Drosophila melanogaster: one gene and its partner. The protein of the gene in region 2 purifies or fractionates together with the protein of the main gene of each other region. This does not show direct contact. Each region holds a gene or a part of one and is shown on either strand. Other genes may lie near its edges. The genes, in order: nclb and Mybbp1A.

The links.
Region 1: the proteins of Mybbp1A (region 2) and nclb purify together in Drosophila melanogaster (affinity purification with western blotting, with the first as the bait; one study listed by BioGRID). This does not show direct contact.

Annotation. Positions count from the first base shown.
Region 1 is NT_033778.4:10,865,587-10,881,965, reverse strand, and holds nclb (no child left behind), read right to left. Parts: upstream 6,219-16,379; 5' UTR 6,130-6,218; coding exon 4,750-6,129; 3' UTR 4,670-4,749; downstream 1-4,669. Other genes in the region: Pex6 (peroxin 6), read right to left, coding at 1-254, 307-1,062, 1,126-1,638, 1,933-1,959; Taf5 (TBP-associated factor 5), read left to right, coding at 2,361-4,475; CG30016 (uncharacterized protein), read left to right, coding at 6,595-6,627, 6,683-6,991. UniProt on the Drosophila melanogaster protein: Chromatin-associated factor that regulates transcription. Regulates Pol I-mediated rRNA biogenesis and, probably, Pol III-mediated transcription. Regulates the localization to the nucleolus of Cdk7, a regulator of the Pol I-elongation factor TFIIH.
Region 2 is NC_004354.4:620,503-636,881, reverse strand, and holds Mybbp1A (MYB binding protein 1a), read right to left. Parts: upstream 7,110-16,379; 5' UTR 6,997-7,109; coding exon 6,673-6,996; intron 6,610-6,672; coding exon 6,238-6,609; intron 6,180-6,237; coding exon 4,899-6,179; intron 4,839-4,898; coding exon 3,414-4,838; 3' UTR 3,249-3,413; downstream 1-3,248. Other genes in the region: Dredd (death related ced-3/Nedd2-like caspase), read left to right, coding at 1,399-1,488, 1,593-2,336, 2,395-2,757, 2,826-2,980, 3,044-3,176; RpL36 (ribosomal protein L36), read left to right, coding at 8,009-8,131, 8,196-8,420; Hinfp (histone H4 transcription factor), read right to left, coding at 9,591-9,983, 10,062-10,378, 10,520-11,213; CG13364 (uncharacterized protein), read left to right, coding at 11,792-11,986; CG13369 (uncharacterized protein), read right to left, coding at 12,163-12,475, 12,538-13,086, 13,148-13,200; Vsp37A (vacuolar protein sorting 37A), read right to left, coding at 14,254-14,448, 14,524-14,675, 14,736-14,991; CG13365 (uncharacterized protein), read left to right, coding at 15,737-16,081. UniProt on the Drosophila melanogaster protein: Has a role in rRNA biogenesis, cell proliferation and tissue growth by contributing to the localization of nclb to the nucleolus.

The DNA of each region.
Region 1 (16,379 bases), on a different chromosome or scaffold from region 2:
TAGATAATATCGTTGAAAGTCTCGCGCACGTGCATCCAGCGAAGAATCTCGAATCGCTCCTCCTTGCTGGGCATGTCAATGTTTATGATCTCCAAGAAAAGTCCTTGGATCATGGGTTTAAGGTGTCTGTCACTGGTCAAAGCCACCACTACAATCGGATGCTTGCGGTCCCTGTTGAAGAGTTCCTGGACCTGCACGTGGAAGGCGGAAAGCAGACGCAGATCCTCGTTACCCTCGTTGTCTATGCCAAAAATCTGAAAATATGAATTGTAATAACCTCTGCACATTTACTCAAAGCCCACGTACCTCGAAGTTATGGAAGCAAATCATAAGCGGTTCACAAACTTGGCTCTTGGCAAATACGGCTTTTAGCTTCATCTCCGTGTGGGAGGGAACTTGCGAAACGATCTCTGCGCAATCTGCTCCGTAAATATGCATCCCCAACTCTTGGGCTACGGCGCTCACAAGCTTTGATTTGCCCGATCCTCGCTCGCCTTGCAGGAGGAACACAGGAAATATGTGCTTTGACGACAGGCAGGCGGACTTTTTTGGCAGGAAAGCATCTACTGAGGAGCGCAACAGCTTATAGGGCTTTCGAAGTCCACTTGGATAGTTCTCAACGATGGCCATGCTGTCAAGCACTTGACGAGGCAGGAAACTGTGAGATGCAGGCACTTGAACAAGGTTGCTAAAGTTTTTGGCAACAATCGCTTGCAGCTCGAACTCGCTGCCCTTTGTCTCCAGGTGAATACACTTTAGGTGGACGTGGCGTAGGTGAGCGAATATCAGGTAATAGTGGGCATAAGTCGCAGTGCCCACCAACTCTGCGTTCACCTCGATGCGGTAGGTATGTCCACGATGCATGAGTCGAGGTGTATTGAAATAGTTGCTCAGGATGACCTCTGTCAGTTCGGCGGGAAGTTCATGGGGATCTGCGACTAAGTACACATGTGCTTTGGTTGCTATTCCAGGTATTGTCTGCTCATCGGCAAAATGCTCTACCTGCACCCAGCAGTTGGAGCGGATTTGAAAGCGATCCAATATGTTGCCGTAGAAGTTCTCCTGAAATTTTACACGATGTAGAATTATAGAAAATATTCCATTTATTTAGAACTAGATACCCACCTGAACGTACAGACAATTGGGTTGGCACTGTGCAGCCGGCAAGATCTGGGCCACAATCGTATGCGGCGCCTCCTGGAGCATTTGCTTGATAACCGTTTGGGTCATATTTCCTTCGTCTGAAGCTAGCGGCTTACCGATTCTTACCCTCCTGCCGCGGATAACCAAGTTGACAAAGTTGACGTCCGGCGATTCCGCATAGTTTTCGTACACCTCCTGACTGGCGAACACCAGGTGCTCCGACTTAATCTGCTCGTTCTTGATCAGCAGATCGTAGAGGCGGTTCGGAATGGGGGTCAGCAGAAACTTGCCCTTGTAATATTTGGCGTAACGCCAGTATACGGCGTATGTCAGATATCCGGGGTAGAGGAACCAGGGCCACTTGGGCGCCAGCAGCTGTATGGCCGAATTGTAGCCCTCGACTAGCTCCTGTACTCTCCCAGAGAAGCTAAATCTCGGCTGTCCTGGATCTTGTTGATCGAACGACACCGAATTCCGCTTGCCGACGACTTTTTTCTGCGGGAATTGATCACGATATTAGCTAATATGGCTTAAATGTTACATATGGACCTACCGCATCATCATTTTCATTCATTTTTTACAATAAATATGGACTAAACACAACAGAAAGCACGAGTACAAGGGTTAATTTCGAGGAGGCGGTGTCAAAGTTCAAGGAGTTGGGGGATAGGCGCCAGACAAATACACTGAAATATGCAATGGCAAGTTAATTCTGTTAATGCACAGCAAATTATTACCCTCTGCTATAAAAATTAGCTTGTTTATTTGGCCAGTTACTTTGTATTTTACCTTTTTCACAATTACTCTCCTCTTCATTACGAATGTTTTGATTCTGGTAAGATATTTGCTCAAAAAATACTAAAAGTATTCAGTCAGCTGTCCACAGTAAGACCTTTATAAGCACATCTTCAAATAATTTCTTTGACCTGCATAAAAGTTAAATATTAATTTTGTAGTAAAATGAAAGAATGAAATATGTCATTATATTTTAAGTAATTCCAAAAATTGGCAAAAAGATATAATTTATAATGTATTAATACAATTTATTTTTAGAATCCGTCTTCGCTAGTGGCTACTGTATATTTTGACTGTACTTGGTGCATTTTAGTATATTTCATTCTCCACTTGGCCGTTTTCAACCGATGCCAACCTGGTCACACTTTTCCACGCATAACAAAATAGTACACAAGTTCCATATATTTCAATTTTCCGCGAAAATGAGCCTGGAAGTGAGCAATATAAACGGGGGAAACGGTACTCAATTGTCCCACGACAAGCGTGAGCTGCTGTGCCTGCTGAAACTCATCAAAAAGTACCAGCTGAAGAGCACTGAGGAGCTGCTCTGCCAAGAGGCGAATGTGAGCAGTGTGGAATTGTCGGAAATCAGCGAAAGTGATGTTCAGCAGGTGCTGGGCGCAGTTTTGGGAGCTGGCGATGCCAACCGGGAGCGGAAACATGTCCAATCTCCGGCGCAGGGTCATAAACAGTCCGCGGTGACGGAGGCCAATGCTGCAGAGGAACTGGCCAAGTTCATCGACGACGACAGCTTTGATGCTCAGCACTATGAGCAGGCATACAAGGAGCTGCGCACTTTCGTTGAGGACTCCCTGGACATATACAAGCATGAGCTGTCCATGGTTCTGTACCCAATTCTGGTGCAGATCTACTTCAAGATCCTCGCCAGTGGACTAAGGGAGAAGGCCAAAGAATTCATTGAGAAGTACAAATGCGATCTCGACGGCTACTACATAGAGGGTCTTTTCAACCTTCTTTTGCTGTCTAAGCCCGAGGAGCTGCTGGAGAATGACCTCGTAGTAGCCATGGAGCAGGATAAGTTTGTCATTCGCATGTCCAGGGACTCGCACTCTCTGTTCAAGCGACACATTCAGGATCGCCGGCAGGAAGTGGTGGCAGATATTGTTTCCAAGTACTTGCATTTCGACACATACGAGGGCATGGCGCGCAACAAGCTGCAGTGCGTCGCCACCGCGGGCTCGCACCTCGGAGAGGCCAAGCGACAGGACAACAAAATGCGGGTGTACTACGGACTGCTCAAGGAGGTGGACTTTCAGACTCTGACCACTCCAGCGCCGGCACCAGAGGAGGAGGACGATGATCCGGATGCCCCGGATCGTCCGAAAAAGAAAAAGCCAAAAAAGGATCCCCTGCTGTCGAAAAAGTCCAAGTCGGATCCGAATGCTCCATCCATCGACAGAATTCCCCTGCCGGAACTGAAGGATTCGGACAAGTTGCTAAAGCTTAAGGCTCTCAGGGAAGCCAGCAAGCGTTTAGCCCTCAGCAAGGATCAACTGCCCTCTGCCGTCTTCTACACGGTGCTTAATTCCCATCAGGGCGTAACCTGTGCCGAGATTTCAGACGATTCCACGATGTTGGCCTGTGGATTTGGCGATTCTAGCGTGAGGATTTGGTCATTGACGCCCGCGAAGCTGCGTACGCTGAAGGATGCAGATTCCCTTCGCGAACTGGACAAGGAATCGGCGGATATCAATGTGCGTATGCTGGATGACCGAAGTGGTGAGGTAACCAGGAGCTTAATGGGTCACACCGGACCCGTATACCGCTGTGCCTTTGCCCCCGAGATGAACCTGTTGCTCTCATGTTCCGAGGACAGCACCATAAGGCTGTGGTCTCTGCTCACCTGGTCCTGCGTAGTCACCTACCGCGGGCACGTTTACCCGGTGTGGGATGTTCGCTTTGCGCCGCATGGCTACTATTTTGTTTCTTGTTCGTACGACAAAACTGCTCGTCTGTGGGCCACGGATTCCAATCAAGCGTTGCGCGTATTCGTGGGTCACTTGTCGGACGTGGATTGTGTACAATTTCATCCCAATTCCAATTATGTGGCCACCGGTTCTAGCGATCGCACGGTACGCCTGTGGGACAACATGACCGGTCAGTCGGTACGCCTGATGACGGGCCACAAGGGATCGGTGAGTTCTCTGGCCTTCTCCGCCTGCGGCCGGTATCTGGCCTCGGGTTCAGTAGATCACAATATCATCATCTGGGATCTGTCGAACGGATCCCTGGTCACCACCCTGTTGAGGCACACTAGCACTGTGACCACGATCACCTTTAGTCGCGATGGAACAGTCCTGGCTGCAGCCGGCTTGGATAACAATCTAACTCTGTGGGACTTTCACAAGGTTACCGAAGACTATATCAGCAATCACATCACTGTGTCGCACCATCAGGATGAGAACGACGAGGACGTCTACCTCATGCGTACTTTCCCCAGCAAGAACTCGCCATTTGTCAGCCTGCACTTTACGCGCCGAAATCTCCTGATGTGCGTGGGTCTATTCAAGAGTTAGGAGCACAGATAAGCTTATTTGGTATACGTAATGTAGTGTTAAGGAATGCTCGGAATGTTTAGGATTAATGTTTTGTATTTCGTTTGTGACCCATCCCCCCTGAAATGTCGATTAGTTGTTTAAGCATAAAAGTGTAAAGTGCATATATGCGCAAGTTATCAATAAATTTTAATTAATATAAAAGTCAATCATTAAGGTTCTTATATATAATTCATATTTATTTAAAAGTCATATAAAGCATATACACAGATAAATACGTAGCTGTACGATTTGCCTACTCTGCATCAGGGATTCCAAACGTTCGGCGCACGGCTATCGAGTTCTTGATGTTAAAGATCGCACAGCGCGGAGGCTTCTCTCCGCCGAAGGCCAGGGTGTAGGGATCCTCGGGGCACTGGCGCATGCACTGCAAGCGACCCATGTTGAACTCGTGCTCGTAGACGTGCTTTGCCTCTGTGCCATCAAAGTTCCACACCTTTAGGGTGCCCTCCGTGGAGGTGGAGGTCAGCAGATTAGGCTTCTGGTTGTTGAAGCACACACCGGAGATTTCCTCGTTGTGGGCCTTTACGGACCACAGCAGTTGTCCAGGAGAACGTTTGTCGGCGTAATGCAAGGTGCCATCGTTGGTGCCCACGATGAAGTAGTCGGTCTGTGTGGGATGCCACAGGACCTTCTCCACTTCACCGTCAACTTTCCACTCAATGCTGGACGAGTTGACGCCCTCAGCGTCGCGGCAATCGAAGAGTCGCACGTATCCATCGGCACAGCCGGTAAGAATGCTTTGAGCCTCTTGCGGATGGAATTCCAGCGACTGAATCTGTTTGCCAAAAGCGGTAATGGTTGTATGAGGCTGGCCCTCGTCCATGTCCCACAGAATCACAGTTTGGTCCACGGACCCGCTGGCCAGAATGTGCTCAAAGTTGGTGTTCCAAGAGAGATCCAGCACGGCGTCCTTGTGTCCATACTGCTCTTTGTTCTGCTTCCGGCTGCCTTTGGAACCCAGCTTAAATGTGGGCTCGATAGCGTCCTGTATGTCTAGATCCCAGACTGTGATTATCGGATCCATGCAGCCGATGGCGCACATGTTGCCCGCCTTTTCGCTGCCCGCGTCGTGATTCATCCACTCGATGCACAGAGGAAAGCTTGGCAGCAGAAAGTCGTGGTGGGTGTAGAGAGCCTCCTCCTCCTGGTTGAAAACCCACACCTCCATGGAGGCGGCGTCGTCTTGAACGTGACCCACTAGAATGAGGTTGTCGCTGGGCTTGATCACCTCGTCCTCGGCCTCGGAGTCTTCGTCCTCATCGGGGATTTGCTCGCCAGCGTCCACGATGTTGGCCAGACTGGTGACATTAGCATTCGCCTCGTTGTCATACTCCTGGAATTGGAACTCGTCCTGCGGATCGCGGTTCTCACTATTGGCATCCGCGTGGTCGTCCACATCCATGTCGTTTTGGTCTTCCTCGGCATTTTCGCCCTCCTCTGCATCGTCGTCGCTCTCCTCGTCCAATTCCTGTTGCGTATCACCGATAATCCTGGCCAGCTCCGCCTGCGTCAGCACGATCTTGTCGGGACGATCCTTAGCCACGCCGCGTGGTACAAAGCAAAGAGCTGGGACAAAATCAATGCTCGGCTCCGGTGGTCCTTCCTCAGCCATTATGATTATATTTTTCAACTTAGTTTGATACACCAAACGAATTGATAAACACGTGCAGTTCAAACAAGGCAGGTTGTGTGACCAGATCCTATTAATTACGCTGTTACTAATACCAAAGACACTAGAATAATAGAATATTCTAGTGTCTTTGCTAATACTTTAAACAAATACTGAAACATACGGCATCAAACGATTTTTATATTTTTAAAAACTGTTGCAAATTTATTCGTTTATTTGGAATTAATACTTCATTAAAAAAAAGTATATATATGATCGTTCCAATTTATTTCCCCAAACAGATTTTTGGCTTACATATTATTTTGATATCCCACTTATCAGTGATTTTCATTGTTAATGCAAGATGCAATCAAAGATTAAGATAAAGAGTCCCATAAACTGGAGCTTTTGCTACCGTCTGAGATACCAGAGATATCTACGATCTTTAATCTTAAAGTTGCCCTCAAGATGGATGCACGAAAGTTTTCTACCCACATATTGGTAACTTTGTTTCAATTTATTTATATGTATAAAATTTTTCGTTAACCTTTTACAGGATACTTCGGTGGGAAAGGCGGCAGCCAATGTGAGAGTAACAGTTTCCAGGCTGGACGAGATTCAGGAATGGAGATCCCTTCGGGCGGCCCAAACTGATGCGGATGGTCGCTGCCTGCTCTTGGAACCTGGTCAATTTCCCGGCGGGATCTATAAGCTGACCTTTCACGTGGGCGCCTATTACGCGGAGCGCAATGTGAGGACACTTTATCCAGCAATTGACTTGATTGTGGATTGCAGTGAGAATCAGAACTATCACATTCCTTTGTTACTCAATCCCTTTGGGTATTCCACATATCGTGGAACATAGCTCGGTTAAAACCGAATAATGGATGTTACACAACTTACAAAAATGTAATTGATTTGAATAAAGGTTTTTTAAATGTTTATTTGTAACATCTCGGGATCGCTTTACACTTCGTGCGATGTTCGTGCATGAGTAACCGTGTCATGAAATCAACTAACCTCACGCTCCCATCCCTATTCGCCAGTGCAGTATCTTGCCATCTCTAGCCAGCATTCGGTGTCGTTTGGTTCCGCTCAGTTTGTATTTAGCGCCTGTCGCGGGAGGTTCGTGCGTTCGGTGCGTTGTCGGTGTTTGGAATTGAATGTTTTTGAAACGGCGATCGGTGGTCGAGTCGTGTGCCGGTAATTTGTATACGAAAAAAAAACATATTTGAAAATGCAAGATCGTTGGCAAGTGCTCTCTGCAAAGTGAGTGAGTGATGGATGCTTGCGTCCTTCAGTTCTTTTCTGATTCATATCCTGCACCGAGGTGCAACAGTTGTTTCGTAGTTGGATTCTGAGTGGAAACAATATTTCCATAATAATATACATATGTGTGCGTGTTTTCAAAAAGAGGCAAACAAGAAGTGGGATTTGTTATTGGAAAGTACAAACAGCGCTCCCATAGACATACACTCGATGCGGCCGAGCCAGCAAATCCCCGACAAATCTTAAACCAGTTTTAAGATACATATTCTTGGTGTCAGTGTGTGCATGTTGATTTTTTCCGGCATTGTTTTCGTTTATTTTTTTTATACTCCGCGCTGCTGCTGGCTCTGCATCTTTTTTGTGTACCCATACCCTTTGCGCCTGCCCCTAATCGCGTTTCCATTTTCTGGCCATCGTCCAGATCCGAGGTTTTGCTTTTGGGCTCCGCGTGAGCAACAAGTACCCCCGCCTAGTACCTATACCTATACCTATACCCAGACCCCTGCCATCATCTATATCTGTACCCATACCAAGTGCCTGGCCGCGTCTCGCTCCGCCTGCCATCTGAAAACCCGAAAAACTCGGAAAGAAACGAGCTTAAATTCTAACGAGATCAGCACGCCAGTTGGTAACTCTGCTCTCCCCAATTGGTCCAATTTGAATGCGGTACGAAGCACCTCCAGAATCCGGCGAAGATCGCACAAGTAATTCCGAAAGGTGAGTGGCGGTGGCTTTAGGTGATCTCATCAGGAAGCTAGGAATAATCTGTTGTTTTGGAATATTATTCAATTGGGCGAACAAACCTGTTGTTTAAGATTCACCCCACTAAGAAACCATTCTGAAGTTATGAAATCCAACTTGTTTAAGTTCACTTTTCTTCATCTTTTCCCAAATATATTACGCCGTGCGAAAATTAATAATTAATAAATAAAATTGATTAATTAACTTGTAACTTGAGTTCAAATATCATAAAAAGTATTTATTGAATTTAAATAAACTAAAAATCATCTGCCATTTATGAAATCTAATACTTTTAAGCTTTTGCTCGTTCTTCTTTAAACAAATCTTAAACAGATTAAATGTTTCATGGTTAGCTTAATATTAGTTTTTTATTATTTTAAAATGATGAAACAATGAAAGCATTCTCCGGTTTGAGCTAGATTCGAAGCTAAATTAAAATGTAGATTAAATTCAATTTTATTGATTGTGCAAAAATGTTGCCAGAACCAGTTGAGCTACAACAGCAAAATTAACACTTTCATTGTTCATTCGCCATACAAGTTCTTTGAAACGTGGGAAACAGTTTATGTAAAGTTTATATTTTAATTCGATTGTTTTTGTTTATATTAAATATATTTAAATTGCCAAGTTGTCTAGCCCGAGGAATGTTACCTCACCTTTTCTGCGACATTTCGCACAATTCGGTTTACCTAATAATTGAAAGTTCGGCGCCGAATCAAAACGCAATCAATATGACAACTTGCTAACGGTCAATTAATCACAAGACCCAATGATTTCGACAAAAAGCAGCCGAAAAATTGTGTATATGTAATTGATAATCGATCCAACGATAAACGCTTTCCTGGCCCGCAGCTCTGACCAAAAGCAATCATTAATAACTGTAGTCCAGAGATAAATTGAACTATGGCTGCGAATACCGTTAGACGGGTCGCTGGAAAAGTGTCAAAAATCGTAACCTACGTGGTTATAATTTGCACTGACGTAAAGCCAAAAACCCAATATGCGATGATCGTTAAACGCCGTAGGCAAATTAGAGAGCGGCTAAGCGGCCAAAGTGCAGAAAAGAAGGCAAAAGTTGGCCGCAAAAACAAAGCAACAGCACCAGGAAAAAAAAACATCGAAATACGAAATAGTAAAAAATAAATGTAAAAACCTTTAAGTCTGCAGAGTGGGCGGGGTAGAAATGGGGGGAAATCGCCAGTGCTTGAGCATGTTTGTCGTCGAGTTCAGCTGACATCGCAAAATGGCAAGAAGTCTCTGTATGATGCACAGAAAAAAATAGTTTTTAAAAACATCCATGCCAAATATTGCAATGAAATGCTAATTTGCAGTTCTCAGTCACATATTAGAGAAATATTTAATAAGATTTACATAAATAATTGCGGGATGTATGAACTTAACATATTCTGTTGAAGAAAAACTTCAGCTGAAAACCAATTACATAACTTACAAATCTTCGTCCATAATCAAAGTTATCCTTATCTTTCTTTCAAATAACTATCTGCTTCGTACAAATTCTGTGAATAATACCCATTATTTGCCGCCGTGTAGCTAAAATGGCAAGAGCAAACAGGAAATGAACCCGCATGCACTTTTTCAAGTACCTTTCGTTCGAATTCGCTGGCCGATTGCATCGAGTTGTTCACTCGAGCACCGGAGTTGGAGCTGCGACTTGAGCTTGAGCTTGGTCTAAAGTAAATTTTGTCGTCGTCTTGTGTTTCTTAGTTCGCCTTTAAGTTGTGCACATACCCAGCGACTTATACGAATGTTCCATGCGGGTATATTCGCACTTGCAGTTGTGAGAACAATGCTGAATGTGCGAACTATTCAATGCAGTTTCCCACCAATTACATTTAGCCTTGAATACCAATGGGCAATTGCGTGGGGCTAACACTGTTTCAACTGGGAGCTTAGAATAATTCGTTCATTCGTCTTACTTATTCAGAAACAGTGTTTAATATGCTTTTCGAAATGCAGTAGAGATTCAAATGTATTTTAGATACTTAACCTTCAAGATTAAAAAATGGTTGTGATGCATATAACTAACCTTTACCATCTCGAATTATCGAATATCACCTGCCCTTGCTTTAGTTTCTATAGTTTCTATAATAACAAAATGTTGAATCTCAAAATCACAATTCTCCGCGCTCAGCAGTTCAATTGAAAGGTATCGCCATGGCGAATGTGCACGTCTAGCCTCACCTTTTAGTTTTATTTCATTGCATTTTGTTTTGTTAATTTCCATGCAATTTCAGGGCATTTCATTCCGCTTGCGCGTAGTTGTTGTTCCCGAACCCCAAGTAGATGTTTTTCGCAATGTTTGCGCAGTTGTGTGGGCATTTGCATTTGTATCTGAGTGCGACTGTTTGAGTCCGGATTGCAGGGGTGCGGATGTGTGTGGAAGTGTGAGTCGGCCAACCTGTTCGGAACTCAAGGAAAATGAGTCAGCAACGCCGGGCCGGGCCGTGCCGGGCCGGGCTTTCGCATCCATGAGATACATTTCGAGTAGACGCCGTAAAGTGTTTACCGAGGACATCGAGGTCTGCGGGGTCCTTCTTCCTTTCTGACCTGCACTCAAGCGTTTATCCGGCGAAGGTTTTGATTATTTTGTTTCATGTGCCCTTAGCAATGTCTCATATTACTTGCAGGGAATGGGGGCTTGTTCATATGTATATACCTACATACATATGCATGTATCCCCTGCCATCCGTATCTTTTCCTCTTCGCTTTGTTCGTCGCCCCTTCGCTTCATTTCCCGGCTATGCATGGGGCCACTCTAAATGTGTTCAATGTGTAGTTTCCGATAAGCATGCATTATGATATACACTTCGAGGCCGAAGTCGTACTGCGTCTTTTTAATTGAGCTACAAAATGATCTGACACCAAAGAGCAGGTTACATAAAAAGATACATTTCCAAAACCATCTACCATCCTGTAGGAAGAAACTAATATTTGGAGATGCATTAATATTGTTTTTAGTAGGTAGAAATTTTCTTTAACCTGCTCACATTTTCCTTGATTTACTCGCGTAAGATGCACGACCTTGACAATCTCTGGCCAAGAGTCTCGGCACAATTATCGTGTTTGGCTTTAATTCCACACGCTTCGTCTACAATGTTTACCAAACAGATTTGGAGTGCGCTTAGTACCTTCCTTACCTTCCCTTACCTACTTTATGCCCAAAAAATCCAAGTGGATTGCAGCAGGTGGCGTGACTAAGACATTCCGCCATGGCAAAGTGAGTTTAAAAAAAAAAAAAATCAAAACTAATTTCAGACTTTTTGTAGCCGCTCTTTTCGGTTTGTTTCTTCTTTTTCTGTGCACTTTATAGTTCGGTAGCTGCTGCTGCTGCTAACAAGCATTCAGTCTTCCAAGCTGGCTTTTATTTTAGCCAATTTTTTATATTTTTTTATTTCTGCACACACATGAGCACTTTTATGGTTTCGGCATTAAAAATGTGGCGCAAAATTCAAACACAGAAGGGGAGTGTAATTGAAAAGGCATGAGAGATGCTACATGGGTGAGGCTAATGGGGGGACTTTGCTGGTTTTGCAAGGCGGTTGGGGGGGGGGGGGGGAGAGAGATGGTATTAGCCGAACTCAGTCGCGCACTAAATCCCAATGGTAACGCACCCATTAATCACAAAAGAGAAACAATAATGCTCGGACGAGCGAAAAAGTGGTAAAAGCCGTTTCCAAAACAAAGCCAGTTGAGAAACGACTCAAAGATGTTCCTCCAAGATATCAGCCAAGTGTTAATTAATAAGTTTAATGTTTTGCGCCATGAGCATAAGCATTCTTAATATAAATACAAGTTTAGTGAGTCAGTCAAGTGGCGCTACTCAAATGGAATAGTATTGCTTTCGACGAAATTTAGCTGCAGCATCTAGTGATTTAACTGCCTGACATTTCCACATTTCAGGGTGTGGTGCACTCATCGTCACCCATTCTATAAGGTTTAATTAATCCGAATTGCGTTGTGCAAAACAGTTAGCTTCTGTCTCTTTGTCTTTGCCAATTTTTTGTGGATTGGGGAACGGCTGTAATGGGCTAATTAAAAGCATTGTTAATGGGATTCAACGGGGGAGGTACACACATACAAGCATACATATTTCTGTAGACAAGTGTATGAAAAACAGGGAAAATACTACACTCGTGAGCATGTGTTGCCAATTAATTAAGTGAATTAAAAAGGGGTGGGGGCATAGGAATATGTCACTGTATCAATTACTTTGCAAATGAATGCGATGGGAAGTCAAGGAATTATTTTTGAAGCTAGAATAGGATTACTAAGTTGTTTATTTTTCTAAGATATTAGACAACATATTTTCGTCTGTAAATAAAACATACTTTATTGTATAAATCATTTGATATTTATGACTGTATAGTTTTCGCTTTAACGTTAACTCGTAAGGGAATCTCTTGTTTGTAAAGTTCTTTGTATATTTTAACTCATATTATATTATATTGTATTATCCCTTACCGCATTTGTATTCAGCACTCAATGAGAACACTTCGGTTGAGCCCTGCAATAAACTGCTATTATTAGCAAGCACTTATGCCCGTTTTGGCCAGCTCATTAGCCATTCTGGGCACAAGCCACGTAACAGTAACAAAGCATAAAAGGCGAAATACACGAGTTTGTCTATATGGCTATAAGCCATTCCATATTCACACCATTCACGATGGTTTATCAGGTTGCATGCACGCGACTCAAATCAATTGCCACAATGACACACATACAAATTGTTGTTGCTGCTTGATGGTAGATACTTCTCGCAGTCACTGTTACAGACCCAGACAATAGCCTAATGCCCAAACCAGAACGATGACGAGGCAGTACCGCGAAGAAGACCTTCACGGTGGCAAACAAGATGTACATATATGCAAAAGTATATTCTGTAGACTGAGTAACAACACCAGTCGCATTCTATATTCTACGTCATCCAAGGAAAAGGGGCGGTGGGAGGGGCTCGCTCGAATCGAGACAATTGCACGTGCTTTGCATGTCGAATTACAAAATAACGAGAACAACAACTTGTAACTCACTTTACAATCGACAGCTACGCAGAAGCTCTTTTCAGTTACAGAGCAACAGGTTTTTGATACCTTTAAAAAAGCACTCAGAAAAATAACAAATACCTTTCATAACAATTGAAAACAAAGTCTAACTGCATAGTCCAAAATATCCAAACAAAATGTATTGTAATTATTAGTTGTTTTTAAAAACTTTCGATGCAGGTGCATTAGTCATAACATTTTGCTTGCTTAACGTTTGACTCTGTCAAGCTGCTATTCTATTCTTTTAATTTATTATATTATATAATATATTTTTGTTCTTTTTTTTAAGTAGAATTTTTATTTTGCTCAAAAAGAATCGCTCAGAAGAGGGGGCGTTGTTTGCTTTCTTGTAGCGGTTCTTCGTTCTGCATAATTAGAAGGCCTCTTCTTCGGGGCATCAAATATTCAATCGACACAATGGCACACATTCGACCTCTATTCTCCTCGCGCTTTGTTTTGGCCAGTATATCTTATATTTTTATTTTGGCTGCTTTAATTTTATTTGGGTTAATGCTGAAAAATTGTCAGAGCTGGCATACAACTTTCGTTGGGCCAAAGAGCGGAAAAAATGAGAAAAAAAAACTAATCTTTTGCACACCAAAGCCGACTTCTTCGCCAAGATCATGTCCGGCTTAGTGTCCGGGAATTATAAACTTCGTTTATAAACAAAGTTTGACGAAGAGACTGGTTGCCTATGTTAGTAACTTTGCTTTTTATACTCACAAGAGGTTAAAACGATTAGGCATTAATGTTGGCCAATCTTTTTGATGCGTTTCTTGTATAATTTGCGCGCTATTAGCGTACTTATTTTTAAGCACTTTTTTTGGTTTACTTTTTGGGTCATTGCTATTAAGTTTTTAGGTAGCAGATGGGTGGTTTGTCTCTTTGGTAAGGTCGTACATATGTACATATACATATATCGTGAAGAAAAGCCTAACGACTTACGAACTTGGCGCAGTAAAAGTTGTGCAGAAATTACACCGACCTTGAATTATGCTTAACCTTTAGTTTATTTACTAAAGATTTAACTATTTCATTAGTATCAATTCTTTGTTTGGATCTTTACATTGATGACCTATTCATCTTTAAAAGGTTAATAAATTAGAAACGATAAAATATTAATAGATTTCCGTCTTCTCGAGCAGAGCTGCAACGAAAGCAGAGCTTAATCGTTTGACTAATAAATATTCATCTTGTTATTTATTTACTTTCCCTTTTGTCCATTTATCAGTTGGGGATGTTAAAGGAAATGTTTCACTTAATAGAAGAAATGAGCTCTCCAGTCTCCAGATAAAGCACGGACAGATATATGTTTATGGGTAGTACGAGAATACACGATCTCCAACCTTATCGCGAACTGCATCCGGACCACACCCAGGGATTCGAGACACACTCAAATGAAACCAGATTCAATCTCCCTCCATTCAACGGAGGAATGTTCAGAAGTCACTTGGCGGATTTCATGCTCCGTTGGCTTTGATTAGAGCGTTCGATTTGTTTGTTTGATCCGATCCGATCATGCCGGCAATTAAATTCAATGAAATTTAATTTCGCAATTGAATTTCATTTTCAGCGTGCTTGCGAATTACTCGAGCGTTTAGACTTAGCCAAGTATTTATCGCCCCCGCAATTTTCCCTTTCGCCTCTGGTTTTCCAATTTTCACTAGCCCACAAAAAAGCCAAACACATCGAACATTTTAGTGTATAATAGCCGGAGCACTCAAAAAAAAAAAAAACATTTCGAAATATTCAGATTGCATTAATCATACACTTAAATTGTTTGTTATTGCTTTGACTAAGAGTACTTATGATAAAGGTTTTTCTAAATTTCAAATTTTTCTATTCGTAGTAACTTATAGCTGGTGAGTTTATGAATGAAAGAAAGGGTTCATAAATATACGAAATAATATACTTATGTTTCCAGCATGAAAGTGTACTTTATAATATTCGATTTAACAACAGGTTCTTTCGCCGAAAGGGGGAATCCATCTTATTAACCATATGAACATTACACTTTAGTTTTGTTTCGGTTTCCGCTATTCATGTTTATGCCCCATTGACTTATACTCGATATGATCGAAGTGGAGGGGCTTGGGAAGACGACCAAGGGGCGAGGTCGATTTCCAAAGCTGGTCCGTACTCGTTTCATTGCCGATCATTCGGGTTTGAGGTTTACGATATTCTATTTAACGGCTCATCGGGTCTGATCGCCTATGGATCATTCCCCCAAGCGGGGGGATCTCGAGATTTTTCTTTGTTCCCAGCCCGCTGCAATCTTAATGTGCGGCTTAGGTGAGTGACTAACGGGCAGCTAAACCATGAGTAAGTGGCCCCCAGGTCGTGGGTAGTTCGAACAGTTCAGTTGTTGTAGATGGGAAATTATATTACTTTTGCCAAGTTTGCCAAATTAAAGCCATAAATGGACAAATGGTGATCTGGAAATGACGTATCAGCAGTCAATTAAAAGTCGGAATGACTTTTGTGCTAAGTGAGTCACCATAGAGATTCAGATATTAGAGACATATATATTATGCCTTATTTAACCACATGCCATAAATTATGTTTTATTAACAATTTATGCCTGCCCGCTTAACCAAGTTTGAAATCAACCCAAGATCATATTTTCAGCACAATTAGAGCATATTAAGTGTGGCAAGAGTGAGTGAGTGAGTAAGAGGTGTGGAGGGCGAGACAAGGAGAGAGTACGTACTTCTTGTTACTTTTTTTTTCCACTGTTTTCAGAATATAAATTAACGCAACAATTAACAGAAACGAGTTTTCGAGTTAAGTTAAGGGGAGAAAACAGAATGGAGTGAAGAATCTGGCCATGGATGATCTTTCGGCGGCAAGGGGGAAAAGATTGGAGTGGCAAAGCTGCTTTATTGAACAACACAACTCTTTAACTATTTATGAGGGACCCCCGCTGAAGTGGCAAGTTCTTGTTTTGAAAAAAAAAAAACGGACCAAAAACCCAACGAAGCGAGGGAAAAGAAAAGGGATAGACTTCACTGAAACATTAGAAATTGAGTGGTGGCAACGAAGAAAATGTTAATTTTTATGCCACATTGATGATGACTCCGAGTTTCCAAGGAAAAAAACCATGATTCTATCAAAAAGTTGTTTCTATTCAGTGCTGCAAAGTACTAAAATCGTTTGAGTTATTTAAACAAAGTGTGGGTTCTT
Region 2 (16,379 bases):
GTGGCTTCCCTGCTGCGCAGTTTCCACTTGCATATGTACGTACATACGAACAGCAAAAGAAAAGCACGCAATTTATCTTTTTGTTTGGCTGGCGTTCCAAAATCAAGTGTATGCAATTTAAAAAATTTGCACCATCTGTCCCTTTCTAGCACCCACGTACGTGGGCGTGGGGAGACATGGCCCCGAGAAACATACATACATACATGCATACGCACACATGCATATGCATTGAAGTACATACAAAAATCTGGGAACTACTTATGCCATACAAACATTTCATTTGTTCGATCTTACTCTCTTAGCGTGACTGCTTTATGCTTTTTTGTGGAACATTAACAACTTTTCGGTATTTGTTATAACATTGCTGTTCGGTTTTCGGTTTATAGATGGGATTTTGTTGGTTCGTTGTTTTGCATTTCGCATTTTGCTTTTCGGATTTTCTGCTTTAGTGTTTTGTTTGCGTCGCTGCTTACATAATGTGGAAGTGGTACAGTAGGTGGATAAATATATACATATATATAGAGGCATACATGTATGGGATATAGCAGTGGCCTCACATAGATGTGTATATACATGCATATGTATATATATGTTTGACATACATCTGACTTATACGTATTTGATGACGAAGTGGTTGTGAGGTACATAGATAGGTACGAGACAAATCGTCGAATTTTTCGCCAGTTTTCGTAAATCGAATAGCGGCTTTAGTTTTTTCTTCTGATACTATATGTATGTACAGATTTATATATATGTGCGTGAGGCAAGCGCGCGCTCTCGCTCGCACCCGCTTGTAGCTTGCTTTCGCCCTCTTTCTCTGCCTGAGGGCCCCGTATCTCAGTATCTGTCCCTTTCTCTCTGTCTGTCTCTGTTACGCTCATGGACAGAATACAATATACAAAAACATTAAATTAATAAAACTTTTCGTCCAAAACATAATATTCAGGAGTTGTGTTGTTAACAGTTCAACAGATCGACTTAAACGAACTAGAGGTGTGGAAACATAAAAATACCAGTACATCGATATTTTTCGCAAAGAACATATCGTCGTGTTGGATGATATTAGTTAATCGATGTTTTTACCTAGTATATTTGGTATTTCCCCAAAAACCGTGAACGCAAGCTTACTTTTAAAGCTAAAGGCTCGCTGGCTGCGACATTTTTAAATATTAACCGATTGTTGAACCGGTTGTTAAACTTCTATATCAAAAAACTACATCATCTGTTTCTTAAGTATAATTAATAGGTAGCACCCCGATCTTTCGCTATTGCAGAAAACATATCCATTTATCGATATCGATCGGTGGAAGCTCTTCAGGCCACGGCTATCGGATGTCAGCGAGTGCAATTTATCGGCCATTTCCTAAAGTGAAACATTTTTGTATATTCCCGATCGCCATGGCCGGATCAAACCTGTTGATTCATCTAGACACCATCGATCAGAACGATCTGATCTACGTGGAACGTGACATGAACTTTGCCCAAAAGGTATGGCACCTCCCTGGGAGGACTTTTCGAATATGACTCAAATGTTTTACACATCCGCTAGACCAAAGTGTTAATTAAACAGTAGAACCTTCGTTTTCTTCTAGGTGGGCCTCTGCTTTCTGCTTTATGGCGACGACCACTCGGATGCCACCTACATTCTGCAGAAACTTTTGGCCATGACACGATCAGACTTCCCGCAAAGTGATCTACTCATAAAGTTCGCCAAGTCCCGGCCAGAAACCTGGAGAAGACATCTCGTGGAGGCCCTGTGCATTATTGGGGCCCGCAAGGTGCTCCGGAGACTGGGTTTCTGCTGGCAGGAGCTGCGAATGCACTACTTGCCGCATATCGCTGGGATCACGCTGCATGTCCATCCTCTGTTGAAGAGCCTCTACAGGATGTGTGAGGAGTTGTCGTTGGTGCAGAGTGGCCGCTTGCTCCTAGATGTTCGCGAAAAGGTGGAGAGCCAGCAGGCAGGAGATCCACTTCGCTTCTACGATCCCGCGTACCTGGAGATCTTTTTGCTGGACTGGCTGACCAGAAGGAGCATAAAGTTAGGGGACATAAATGCCGCAGGCAGCGATGTTCAGCTGCTGGTCGGCCATTTGAAGTCCAACGGTCTGCAGGCGCAAGCAAATTTGCTCAAAGACACCATCATTAGTAACGCTCCGGAGCCAGATGCGGCTGGCACTGCTGCGATGGCAGTCAAGCAAGAGATTGAATCGGATAACCAGCAGTCGTACTGTTCCACACAAATAGATGCTCTTAAGTTGACCCGGGAGAACGCAGGAATCGCCTTGATTATCAACCAGCAGAAGTTTCACCGGAATGTTAGCAGGGATAATATGGTTTCATCTCTGCAATATTGAGTAACAAAAAGAAGTACAACATTGCCCTTCTCCACAGAAATTTCTGTCGCCCGACCCACTGCGTAGACGGGATGGCACGGATGTGGATAAAGAACGACTAATCGAGGTGTTTTCCTCGATGGGATACAATGTGGAGGCGTACGACAACGTGGATCACATGGGCATCATAGAGCGCATTCGCAGTGCGTGCGATAGATCGCTCGTGCGCGATTCCCTAGTGGTCTTCATCCTGAGCCACGGCTTCGAGGAGGCCGTCTACGCATCCAACAGCATCGCCATGAAGATCACGGATATCGAGGACTTGCTCTGCAGCTACGACACCCTGTACTACAAACCGAAGTTGCTAATCATACAAGCCTGCCAGGAGAAGCTTGTCCATAAAAAGAAGCCAAATGAGCTCGTAAGGAGATTTATAAGCATGAAGTCGTCGAATGGGAAAGCCTATACATTTTCGTATTCCTCTTTCAGTTTAGGATAGACGTGACCACCGTGTCGCCGGACCAGCACATCGACATGCTGCGGGCCATGTCCACGGTAAATGGATATGCTGCTCTGCGCCACACCCAAACAGGTAGCTGGTTTATCGGGAGCCTGTGCGATGCCATCGATCGCCGTTCCGCCAGGTAAAAAGCTGCCAAAGCAAGCTAGCCCCGAATTAATGCATAAGTTGTTCTTTGTTACTTTAGTGAACACATCGCCGATATCCTGACGATTGTCACCAACGAAGTGTCTAAAAAGCGAGGCAGTAATGACGAGTCCATGGTGCCGAATGTTAAAAGCACATTTCGCCAGCACGTGTACTTTCCACCTCGTCTGTGATTTTGGTTTTTAACGTTAGCGCAGTTGTACGTCCACTCAAATTGCTCTATAAAGGTAAAAATACATTTTTATAAAGTTTAGTGTACTTTTGCTATTTTTTCAATGACTTCAATACTAATTTAGTACTTTTCGTCAGAATTTTTTAAAGAACAAAAAAATTAATAGTATCCTATATTATGCAAGATATTTATACATCTAATTGTAAGGTTTCTTATTGGGGTGTTTCCTTCTTTTACGTTATGTGGACTCTTCATCTTCCACGACCATAGGTTTGGCGGCTGCCTGCTTCTTCTGCTTCGCCACCTTCTTGTTGGGTTGAAGATCCTTGGCGACGAGCTGAATTTGTTCACGCAGTTTCTGCCACTTCTCGCCTCCTTGGGCGAGGATCTTAAGCAGCAGATTGAGTTCCTTGGAACTGCTAGCCTTCGTTTCTAGCTGATTTACATATCTGGCTATCTGCTTCTCAAATTTCTTGGAAGACGAGTTGTTGTCCTTGAAAGCGACTTCGAGCCGGCGACCTTGCTCGCTGAGCAGCTTCAGTATCTGTGCCCGCCGAAAACTGCGTGTTTTCTGTACGTCCAAGTGAGAGGCCAGGACAACGGCCAGCGGAGCAACTCCCTGCCATTGGCCAGACTGAAAGAGGGCTTCGAAACTGGCCAGAGAGAGGCGACTACGTCGCTTGGCTACCCACAGCTCCAGGAATTCGACTAGAAGGGGCCAGACGGCACTTTTCTTGGGCTCGCCATCTGCTGATGCCTGGCTGACCAGGTAAGCGAAGCACCTGTCCCGCCAAATAATGATGTCTCTTTTGGCCTGTCGGCTGGCGGGCTGCTTGCCGTTCTCTTGGTCCTCTTCTGAATGCTCCTCGCCAGACGACATCAGCTGCTCAATGGCTTCCAGAATGGGTGCGGTGCTCTGATTTTCCTTGAGTTCGATATTCCTAGCGAGTATCTTTTTGAGCAACTTCAAACTGGCTTCTCGCAAGGATTGTAGTTTGCTGTCTGCGGCGCAATGGCTGTACACCTGGAACACGCAATGTAGCACGTCCAGGATTACCGATTGAGTTGGTTTCTTGGTTATGAAGAGCTCCAACAAATCCAAGGCACGAATGCGGAAGTGCAGCAGGTTGGTGCTATCAATGCGTTCCGATTTGGTGGGACGCTCCTTCTCCTGGGCTTTGCGCGACTTGGGTCGGAACATCTGAAAAGACCGCTCCAAAGCAGCATTCAAGCGTTCGCCCTGCTCCTCGTCCACATCGTTCCAATCCACGCTGCTGGCGCCATCGTCATCAGCGTCGCCATCGTTGACCAAAGCCTGGCGAACGCTCTCTCGAATTTGGGCCAAATGGGACTCTGCATCGTCCTCGCCCTCGTCCTCCTCTTCATCTTCATCTTCATCTTCTGAATCATCGCTTGAATCCTTCAACGATTCTTCCTTGTCGAGTTCGTCATCGCTCTCCTCCTCGCCATCGCTCTTTTTGCTCAGGGGATTTTTGTTCATGTTGAGCACTTCGAGGACCTGTTCTAGGTTACCGTGCTCAAGGTGCGGAATCAAAGCGGTGGCCACCAGTTGAACAAACTCCCGCCAGAAGTGACCTGTTTGCAAAAGTAACTGGAGTAGGGCATCTGTAAGCACGTCCTGCCATTTGAGCTCTTCGTTAACCTAGAGCAAACCAGTTATTTTAGATTTAGGATGACATTGAAGTATAGGTTCTCTACTTACTTGCTCCTTGCTCTTTTGCAGTGCATTCTTACGGCAGATAATCAGATCTTCCAACACGGTGATGGATGGGGGAATCTTTGTGCACAAAGCCAAAGAAACAAACAGGATAAGAGCCTCGAATGATTGGCCAACGACATCGGATTCCTTGCTGGGCCGCTCCAGCAGTTTCTCGACCTGCTTCCATGCCTTTTGCAGTGATTCGTCTCTCGGCGAACGCAATTTGCTCTCCGCATCCGGTTGTCCCAACTCTTTGTTAAGGTAACTCAATGTCTTCTGCAGCAACTGGCAAAGTCCTGGCAGACCCGAGCACTTGTGCAGCAGGGAGCCCAGGAATATCTCCTCACAACGCGCCGCGCACTGGCGACTAAAAGCGCTGGCTTGGGCAGCTTCACACGGCTTCTTACTGGCATCTAAGTGGAAAAGGCCAGCGAGCAACAAGTAGTTCAACTGTTTCTGTCGCCATTTGGCTGTCTGACTAAGCTTTGAGTGGTTCAGTATCAATTGCATCTGGTTAAGGCAGTGCACTCGGCTGACTCTGTCCTCGTCCTCCAATGAGTACAGCTTGTTGTTGTAGTAGTCGTACAGCTTGTGAAGGCTCTCGACGCTGAGTTGATTTATCAGTTTCTGGCAGAAACGCGGCAAGGAAATCACCGAGTCCAGCTGCAGTGTGTGCTCCAGCAGTTTGAGCAGCAGGTGAAGTTTGTTATCATCGTTTTGGAACTGCTTTTCGTAACACAAAACCAAGGATCCCTCGAACTTGAAGCAAATCTCCTTCAGCTTCTTTAGCGACGGTTTCTTGCCCTCACCTTTGTCCCATTTCACAGATGAACATTCATGCAACAGGAACTGTACACAGGTCGGTGTAAAGATATCCAGGATGAGTTGTTCTTCCCTTGGCTTAAAGTTGAGGAGCACGTGGCTCAGTACTTGGATGGCACACGCCTTGGCTGCATTCAGTTTGAGTGGCTGCTTAGAATCGATATATTGCTGCCAGGCGGCGAGCATATCCTTTCCGCCATTAACAAGAAAACTAGCCAATCTGGCATATACGCCATCGCTGTGAATGGTGGAACCGGAGAAATACAAATCGAAAAGCTGTGTGTACACTGGTTTCTTGGGCCACAAGCTGGCTAGAATGTTCTCCCGTCCCAGTACGGACGAAAAGGTCAGATGCACGGCGAGCAAGACATCGCAAGTGTTCACTTTCAAGCCACTCAACGGCTTGTTTAGCTCGGGTTGCAGAAGTGGCCACACGTACTCCTCGAAGATCGCAGCGGGTAGCTACGTAAAATCATAAGAAACTGTAGTCAATCTCCTTCAGAAAAGCTTAAGCACCAACCTGTTTAAAGGAGACCGCCAGGATATCACCACACAGGGACACCAAGTACTCCCTGCCCTTTAGCTGGGCTGCCAGAATCTGGAAGACTGCCGTAACCAGCTTGGGCTCGGCCTTAGCGAACTGCGGGGTCTGCAGAATGCAGAAGGCTGTAACCAATTGACCGACGGCCGCTAGTGAGTCCTCCTTGCCCCTCTGCTGGCTGCCAACGGCCAGGTCTCGCTTCAGAGTCTCCAGAACCTCAAAAGCATCAATGGCGGGCACGGCGTTTAGGATGCAGTGTATGTAACTGGCGGCCAGGCTCACCGTCTTCATGTCATCTGCTCCTGTGGAGCGGATCAGGCGCTTGAGCACGTAGCCGGTGGTCGCAGTGCGCTGAGGACGAAGAATTTCAACAATTAGTAAGCGAAACTACTTGGACAGCTGGTAGGGACCAACCTGCTCAGCATTTGTATCATCGCGCAGCAGTGTTATGAGCGAATTGATCATCTTCTTGGTCAGTTGACTGCCCTGCATCTTTTTGAAGACCACAAAAACGGCCTTGTTGATCTGAGACACCTTCAGGTTGGCGTTGCTTGCGGTATTTTCCTTTTCCTCGGTCTCCGCCGGCTTCTCCTTCTTGGACTTCTTCAAAATCTTGGCCGGTATTTGCGAGTCCGCTTCGGATTTTTGAGTTTTTGCCCGCTTGCGGTCCTCCTTGGCCTTTGTCTTGGTTGCATTTGGTGCACCATTGGTTACGGGTTTATCCACCTTGCTCTTCATTTCTGCTCTGTTTTTGGGGATCACTTAATTTACCTTTAAATTATTTCGGAAATAACGTCCTATTTCTATTTTATATGCACGTGCGCAAAGTTGAGTTATCGACAGCCGGAGGGTGCTATCGGAGCATATTGTTATTTAAAATCGGAAGGCGGTAATTCGCCTATCGAAAAGTTTCCCCTGAGCATTTAAAATTACAAGCTGGATGATTTCTTTACCCTTATTTCTTGTTCAAGGGGTCAGTCTCTATTTTGAAGTTTAGCCATAATATTTTGCACATAATATTGGCTTGCCAGTATCAGCTTCTTGCTAGTTTACCACTAAATACCAAATGTTGAAATCTTTACATTTTCCGCACGCGCAAATTTGGTTCGATTGGCAAATTGGACAGTCTGGCAACGCCCGCCCGCCTATCGATAATAAGGCACGACTATCGCCCATCTCCAACTGCCATACTGTTTCCTGTCCAACTTTTTTCGCTCTTTCTTTCTTTTAACAGCGTCTGAGGTGGAGTGTTATTCCGCGAAAATAAGTCTGAATTGTAGTGCAATCACTTGCGAAGTGTGTTAAATCAAGCGCTGAAGCGCATGCAACTCCAGTGCGCTTGATCCGCACCGCATTTCCTATTATATTTTTTTTTTTGAGTGCTCAGCTATTATTTAGCGCCCGCGTGCTCGCGGCAGTCGCAGCAAAGATTGATACCTGTGTGCGAGTTTGTGTTTCATGTGTGCGTGCCTCTCGAAAGACCAGTGAACAAGGTCCCCCCTAACCCGACTCACAGTGCAGTTGGGACGCGGGCCCTGCCCTTTTCCTCGTCAGAATTCGCCAAGGGCAGGGACACCTCGCTTGGCAATTTCAGACGCACGCACAAACGGGAAAGAGCTGCCTGGCGATTTCCGCGAGCACGCGTGTGCCTTTTTTTTTTTTTTTTTTATATCATTGATATTTCATTGAATACTTTGATTTGTGCTAGGTGAAGCCCACTAATAGTCTCTCGTTTGCATCCTCAGTTAAAATGGCAGTGCGCTACGAGCTGGCTATTGGCCTGAACAAGGGCCACAAGACCTCGAAGATCAGGAATGTGAAGTACACCGGCGACAAGAAGGTCAAGGGTCTGCGCGGATCGCGCTTGAAGAACGTAAGTTTGCACGCCCGTTTATTCTTTGTTTACACGGACGACTCTACTCTTAAATTCCTTGCAGATCCAAACCCGCCACACCAAGTTCATGCGCGACTTGGTCCGCGAGGTCGTTGGCCACGCTCCCTATGAGAAGCGCACCATGGAGTTGCTGAAGGTGTCCAAGGATAAGAGGGCCCTGAAGTTCCTCAAGCGCCGCCTGGGCACCCACATCCGTGCCAAGAGGAAGCGTGAGGAGTTGTCCAACATCCTCACCCAGCTGAGGAAGGCCCAGACCCACGCCAAGTAAACGGACGGAATCTGATTCGACATCTCGGCATCGGAAGGCAACCTGGAGCGCCGTGTTATGTTCTCATTTCTTTCCGATGACGTTACTTGAGAATTAAACAACTAAAATTCGTTAAAAAAAAAAACCAATCACCACAAGTGTGTTTATTTTTTTCGAGTGCAGAGGAAGCTAACCTCACAAATGGCCGCAAAACTGAGTGAAAGAGTTCGAGATATGATAGGTTGTAACCTACATACATCTTCCTAAGAGAAGGACTACACTTTCAATTGAGCTCAGTTTAATGATAGCCGCCACAGAAGTGTGGCTTTACAGCAGCGATTAAAGTGCTAAAGTTATCCAAGGTCGGTCCCCAAATTTCAAAGATTCAAGCGTAGTAAGCATTTTTCATACGTTGAAATACTTTCCTGTGTAGAAGCACATTAAATACTGATCATCTTTTAAGTTTGTATAGATCATCTGTATATTTCGTTTTTCTCTGCATTTTTATTCGCTACACAACTTAAGAAATGAAGTCAAGTCACTTATTAGCTACTTATAGAAATTCTGGGCAAAGAGAAGCAGGCGCGCACGTACGATATGATAATATGATCAATGGAATCAATGGATTTTTCGGTGCGAACCTACTAAAACTAAATAGCCCTTGAAACTCTTGTGTCATCTTTGGGGTTAAAGGATTCGATCTAATGTTAAATGGAGGAGAATTAAAATATATGGCCAGCGAACAAGTGAAGGCAGTTTTTCAGTTTTCATACACTCTATTAAAGTAAGAACCGAATACAAAGGTGCGAAACGTAAATGAAAACTGATATTGAACATTGATATACTAATTAGTGAAATTAAAAAAGTGAGGCACAATAAAAATACAAATAAGTTCACAAATATAAAGCAAAAATTCAATGACAGCAATACAAGCAATGAGAAATGGCCTTCTCCTATAAGTGCTGCAGAATTCAACACCCTTAAGCTGCTAGTTTTTTTATTCAATTCCCAGAGTGGCTGACTCCTTGATCCTTACACACTACGATTAGTTTTGTTTGTGCAGTGGGCAGGGTATCGCGTCCCCGGGTGCTATCTCATCCAATCGCACTAGGTTCTAGGTAGGACTAAATGCTTAATGTAATGTAAAGGGCACACGAGATCAAAGGGTTGGCTGCCGGGCGGCTCTATTCCTCACAGCTCCTCTGCTAGGCTGGGCAGGGAGATTACCACTTCACCCATCAGCTGCGCCTCGTTCGGATCATTCGAGACGATGATGCGCTCGAACTCGGTATTTGTGGGATCCACGATCTCGTAGCAGGATCCTGTGCCCGGTTTCGCTAGCGAGTCGTTCACCTGCGGCGACAGTATTTGCTGGGTCACCTCCAAGCTCTCGAGGCGCGTCGTCTCGAGGCGGTAGAACCCGTTCTCGTCCACCCGGTAGGTGAATCTTTTGTGGCCCGAAGGCAGGCGGAAGCCGTGCTTCTTCATAAGGTGAGCGGAGAGCGACTTGCCGCTCTTGAAGAAGCGCTCGCAGCAGTGGCAGGCGTACAGAATGGGATTGTTGCCGTGCACCTCGAGGAAGTGCTGTAAGAGAAACAGGAGGGTTACTTGCGGTCGAGCGAATGGCAGAAAGGAATCCAGCTTTGGGGAACGGTGGCTTACCCGTCGCATCTGCGTGTAGGTGCGTACAGAATAATGACAGTCGGGATGCTCGCACTGGTGCACCGTCTTCGAGTGGACAATCTGAACGTGCTTGGCCAGATCCGACTCCCGAACGCAGCGCGTGTCACACTCACTACACTTGAGCGGTTTGTCCTTGAGGTGGCGGTACCGAATGTGGGTGGTCAGCGAGCTGGCCGAGCTGCAGGTCATGTCGCACATGGTGCACTTGTAGCAGTTAACGTGTCGCACCACGTGGCTCTTCAGCAGCTTCTTGGTGGCAAAGAACTTGAAGCATTGGGCGCACTGGAAGCTGTTTGCTGTAACAGATTAGAGGGTGGCCAAGTAGTTAAGTAAACTAAATTAAATCATTGCGGGTTTTGTCAGGAATAACGTATGGCTATAGATATGGCAGCAAGGGTTTTTTTTATGTGTTTTTAAAGAGCAAGTCTCGCACTCACTGTTGTTTTCCGGCTGGCGTCTAAGGTGATCAAAGAGCGTAGTCTTGGTGCGGAACAGTTCGCCGCAGTGGAAGCAAGCCACCTGCTTCTTGTTGGAGTGGGTACTGATGTGCTCGATGAGGCGGTACTTGTTGCCCATGTGCTTGTGGCACATGGCCCAGTTGCACATCGTCTTGGGCCGCTCGTCTTCCGGCGTCTTCTGTATGTCGTACTCGAATAGGGCGTGCTTAACGATGTGGTCCTGGAACTCCACAATCGAAACGAACTCCCTCTCACAGTCGGTCCAACCACATCGAAAGTTCTGGCCCAGAGCGGGCAGCTTCTCCATGAGGCGGGCCGGAGCAGTGCAGGCGGGGATTTCCGGATGCAGATCGCACTCCAGCTTCCCCTGCAGGAGCAGGTTCAAGTAGTAGCCGTGGTAGTACGAATGCCGTTCAAACTCCACCTGGTTTTCGGTGCGGAAATCGCAGGAGTTCCATGTGCATTGATGCTCCGTGTGCTCCGCATGCGCCCCCCGATCGTCCTGGGCCTTCGCATAGTGCTCCAGATGATCCCCAATATGCCCGTTCAGGCTCCACTCGCCAGTGCAGATCTCCTGGCAGTCGCGCCATCCGCAGGTCAGTTCCAGTTCCGCGGGCTTCTTTCGCTTGCCAGGCGGCTGAGGCGCAGGCACTGATGACTGGGGCCTTAGCATGGTTTTCCTGACAGGATTTACACTCTTAATCCCGGATATTAGTTGAATTTGAAATTAAAAGTAAACCTGGAGCAAACAACAACTTTATCGACGAGCTGGTCCAATCGATTTTTCATCGATACATCGCTTTTGTAAAGGTCGCTCAAGAAATCGATGGTAAATTCCTCTTCCTTTTGAATTAGTTGAATAGTTAGTGGTTTAATATTTTTCAACTTATCTATGTTTTTTTTTCCGAAAAGTCATTAAAATTCCATCGACAAAATCGACATTTTTTTATTTTGGCTGGTACACATTGCTGTTAAGGATGACTTTAAGTTCGCTTCGAGAAGCGATTTTTAGAAACAACATAATTATAATTTCATATAAATTTGTTCTTATAATTTCATCAATTAATTGAAATATATGTCCAGTTCCGATAACACGCACAGCCAATCGAAAGCGCGAAGCTATCGATTGTTCTCGTGGTTATCGTGCAGCGGAAATCGGAAAAACGTGTGAAAAAGGTGCGTGACTTTTTGTTGTGGAATCCAACCCGATTTTCATAGATTTTTCCTCCCACGCAGTATAAGCGAGCAAGTATGTCTGGACGCGAGGGCGGTAAGAAGAAGCCTCTGAAGGCGCCGAAGAAGGACTCCAAAGACCTGGACGAGGACGACATGGCCTTCAAGCAAAAGCAGAAGGAGCAGCAGAAGGCTCTGGAGGCGGCCAAGGCGAACGCCTCAAAGAAGGGTCCTCTCGTAGGAGGCGGCATCAAGAAGTCGGGAAAGAAGTGAAGCTGCCACGCCTCCATCTGTAGTCCGCAACCCACTGGATTCTGGACGCTGAATTGCCAGCCGAAGCACACCCATGTGGACCATAATCTTTTTATACTTACGATTACCATTAAATAGATCATTGTACGTCAGGATAGAGATTTATTGTTGCGTTGCATTCTTTTGGGGATTTCCCTCTAAGCGTGTGGGAAGCTCGACTGCGTCCCGGGTAGCTGAACGGATTGCGAGGCCACGGCACAGGCGGCGGCTATGTGCTCCTCCAGTTTCCTCGTTGGATGACGGGCCAAGTTGTGGGCCAAGGCCCCAATGAAGGCGTCTCCAGCCCCCGTCGTGTCCACCACTTTTTCGGGCGGCACACTCGGCGCAGCCACATGCTGGCACACGCCCTTGGAGTCGGCGGAACCGAAAACGGCTCCTAGTTTGCCCAGAGTTATGATCACCGTGTTGGCACCTGCCGCTATCAGCTTTCCAACCGCATCTTCGGCGTGCCTGGCAGAAGTGGGACCCGATTTAGTTGGCAGTACGACTGGTTTACGCTTACTCGCACTTACTCTATGTTGCCAATGTCGGGCATCTGAGTCATCAGTGCCGCCTCGCTTTCGTTCACACAGAAGATGCTGGCCAACTGAAGAAGTTCGGGGGGTGTGTCGGCCATGGCCGGAGCCGCATTGACGATGGACACGCCCCGGAAGGCTCTCAGAGCGGTCAGGGTGGCCTCAACGGGCGTCTCCAGCTGGCACACCAGAACTTTGGCTTCCTGGAAGAGCGCCTTCGCCGAGGAAACGTCACACGAGCTCAGTCGATTGTTGGCGCCCACCACAATGATGATGTTGTTCTCGCCGCCATCTGACACGGCTATCTGGGCCACGCCCGTCGTTTCCTCCGCCAGCTGCTCGACGTGGTTTACATTGACGCGCTCCTCGCGCAGATGTCTCAGGTAGTCGCTGCCGAATGTGTCTGCCCCCAGTTTGGCCACCAGAGCTGTTCGGGATCCCTGGCGCGCGGCAGCCACACACTGATTGGCGCCCTTGCCGCCGTAGCCAATCTGAAAGCGATGCCCATGGAGCGTTTCTCCGGCTTTCGGTAGACGGGTCGTGTAGCTGGAAAAGGTGTTGTATTTGTAAGATTCTCCTTGGGATCGAGCCTTCTCTGCCCACCTACCTTATAAAGTCAATGATGGCCGAGCCGAACACCAGCACTTCCGTTTGGGCCATTGCTGCAATTGCACTAGTCTCTTGTGGGTAGTCTGTTATTTATAGTTTCTTGTGGAATGGAGAAGCAGAGACGAGAGTTCACTGCCGCTTATCACTCGAGATTACTTGACCTCGGTGGAGGAGGGGAAGGGCGACAGCGGGGCAGCCGAACGAGCACTATCAGCCAACTGGCCCAGTCCGCTTCTGGCCGAGATCGGGGAAGAGGTACGGCCGATAAATCGGCGAACTATATAGCTAAAATACCAAAAAAATACCATGATAACCGGATCATTCATATTTCGAACGAATGATGTAGAACGAAACTTTCGATTGTTTTCGATTTTAACAATTGGAATGCTTAGTAATATATGTACATATGAATAATAATGGAGAAAACGTAGTTATGTTTGTTTAATTGCTTTTAGCTTATGCAAACTAAATTAAGATACTAGCACAAGCCACTGTTGAAAAAAGAAATTTTATATATCTGTTATTAAGCATTATTATTCTTCAATATAATAAAATTATTTCAAACTAATAAGGTTGTGTTATCCTTTGCGGTTCGATTTTATTCAAATCAAAACAAAAATCATTCCAAAAACCATTGTTTTGAAAAACCTTTCCCTTAAATAGAAAGAGACGGCATCATTTAAAGCATAGTTTTTTTTTAATATATATGTATATATGGAGAGAATATATGGATGGGGCTCACGATTAACCAAAAGGAAAAAAAGTAAATAGGTAATACATGCGATTCCGGACTGCGTTCTGTTGCACATAGTGCTTCGTTTCGGGGTACGGATAGAATAACAAGACCCTCTTCCCAAGTAAACGATCTTGGGAAACGAACAACTAGTGCACCTTCTTATTACTTCAACAAGGTTTTGCTTTCTGTTCTGGGAATGCGTGGCCGTGTGTGCCATGATTATGTCGCCCCATCTCTGGCTTAACTTCTCTATTTACTAACATTGATATTCTCTACTATTGCGACGCGGATCGTGGCGGTGTGGGAGGAGTGCGAGGAGTGGGAGGACCGTGCTCTGGATGGCACGGCCAGGGAGTGTCACGGCAATCCTAGATACCGGCCCGCTCCAGAGCACTGAGCTGGGTGCCCAGGCGCTCCTCTTTGGCCTTGCGCTCGGTACTGATCTTCTTCGACCACTGGTACGTGTTGAGGAAAGTCTGCACGTCGGTCTTTCCGTTCAGGAAGTGCTCCACGTGACGATCGCAGTCGCCATCGGCATTGGAAGCTGCAATCTGAAGAAGCTCCTTCAGGGGAAATGGAATGCAAGTTACGGATGGGAATGGTAACTCCCACGCCATTGGCTTTTTAAGGGAACTCACCCTGATATGCTGAGGCGCGTATTCATCCGACTTCTTGAAGTACTTCTTGTTCAGCCGGTCGCATTTCTCGCCTAGGTTTTTTAAAGCTGTAAAATCGTCGCTGAGTCGGCGCTTCAGCTCTACCAGATGAATGCCCTTGCACTCGTTCTCTCCTGGATTGGAATACAGAAGGGTTAGGTAGATTTGCCAGCCTCGGGCCGTGACCTACTCACTTGATATAATCTCCACCTGGTCCATCATTGAATCGAGCTCCTCGTTCAGGTACTGCACCACGGACATCTCCTCGATGAAGTCCTCGAAGAACTCGGGATCCCTGTCCAGCTGTTTCAGTTCGTCCAGCGACAAAGTGCACAGGTTGGGCAGGTTGTCCGATTCGCCGGCCTCCTGCTCCTTGGCCTCACTGCTATCGGTCGGAGGTCTTTGAGCAAGAGAGTGGGCAAGGGCAAGATCCTGTGGTGTAGTCGGCATCTTGAGTTTTCAATCCCAATTTTCGAATGTCAATGTGTCTGCGTTAGATCTATTTTAAATTTAGAATTGTGAACTGTATGAACGGAAGTTTACCGGTTTACTGAGTTTTGCGAAAGCCGAGGATAGTTGTGTCGATAGTTGAGCACCACTGAACTCCAAAGGAAGTTGGCAAACCCGGTTGCAAACTACCAACGTTTCAAAGGACTTGCCCGCTGTCCGTGCTACTCAGCCAATCTTCGGCTACTGATGTTCTGATCTTTTATGCTTTGCCTTCGGATTGGAAGCACTGGTTTTATATGCCCCGATCGAAGTTGCATTTTCGTTCTGTGACCATTTCAGTGCTGCCACCTTGGCTAGCTTGCCGCCAAATTCGGCTACCGTCTGAGGCGGTCAGCGGGAATTCAAGTCGCTCGCGCTTTCGTCCAAAGATTTCGCTACAATAATGATTCTCATACGTCTTGGTTTTCATTTAGCTTTAACGTGCACTTTTCCTGAATTAAAAACGTGGAAATGAGGCACAGGGCATTATCGCATCTGCAAAACACATATTAGAAGTGACTTCGCTTTGGCTTGTAAAATAAGCTTAACTTTATTTTGTTTTCAAATAATTAGTTTCTTGCATCCTTGGTTCGAACCATTTGGTGGATTTGAACAGTGTGGCAACTTTGGCTGCCAGCTGCAGTCGCTTGTTTACATTTTGCATCTTTACATAACGAACTTAGTTATAGCAGCACATAAGCACACAATGGCACTGTTCGAGATGAAGTGGCTGCGCCGCTGGGTGCGGCGCAACACGAATCCCATACCGGAGCACCGGGCGGAGCTGTGGAAGCGGCGCCTGAGCATCGGGTACGCCGTTCTGGCCTGGCAGGCATTCGGCCTCGTTTGCTATATGGTCTACACCGGACGCAACGACTGGGCCAAGTACTACGGCTACAAGACGGAGGAGGAGATGGCCCTTTCGCCGGCCCAACAGTTCGCCAAGCACCTGAAGGTCGAGGGGACCGGCAAGATCATCAGGTTCTCTGGATTCCACAAGGTGGAGGAGGTGCCCTTCGACGCCAGCGAGGTGGAGCGGGTCAAGGAGTAACTGTAGTTCCCACCAGCTCAGTGAACCATTATTTTTTTTTAGCCATCGTATGTTTATTGCCATTAAAGCTTACAAATAGGACTTAACTATGTTGTGGCGTCAATGGGAAACCGATGCGGATTCAAAATGGATTCGCGTCCTTCCGCATCGGATACCGGTTAATGGGATAGAAAGACACTATTAAATTTCTTGTAAAGTTCTACAACGACTGGGCCAAGTACTACGGCTACAAGACGGAGGAGGAGCTGGCCCTTTCACCGGCCCAATAGTTCGCCAAGCACCTGAAGGTGGAAGGCAA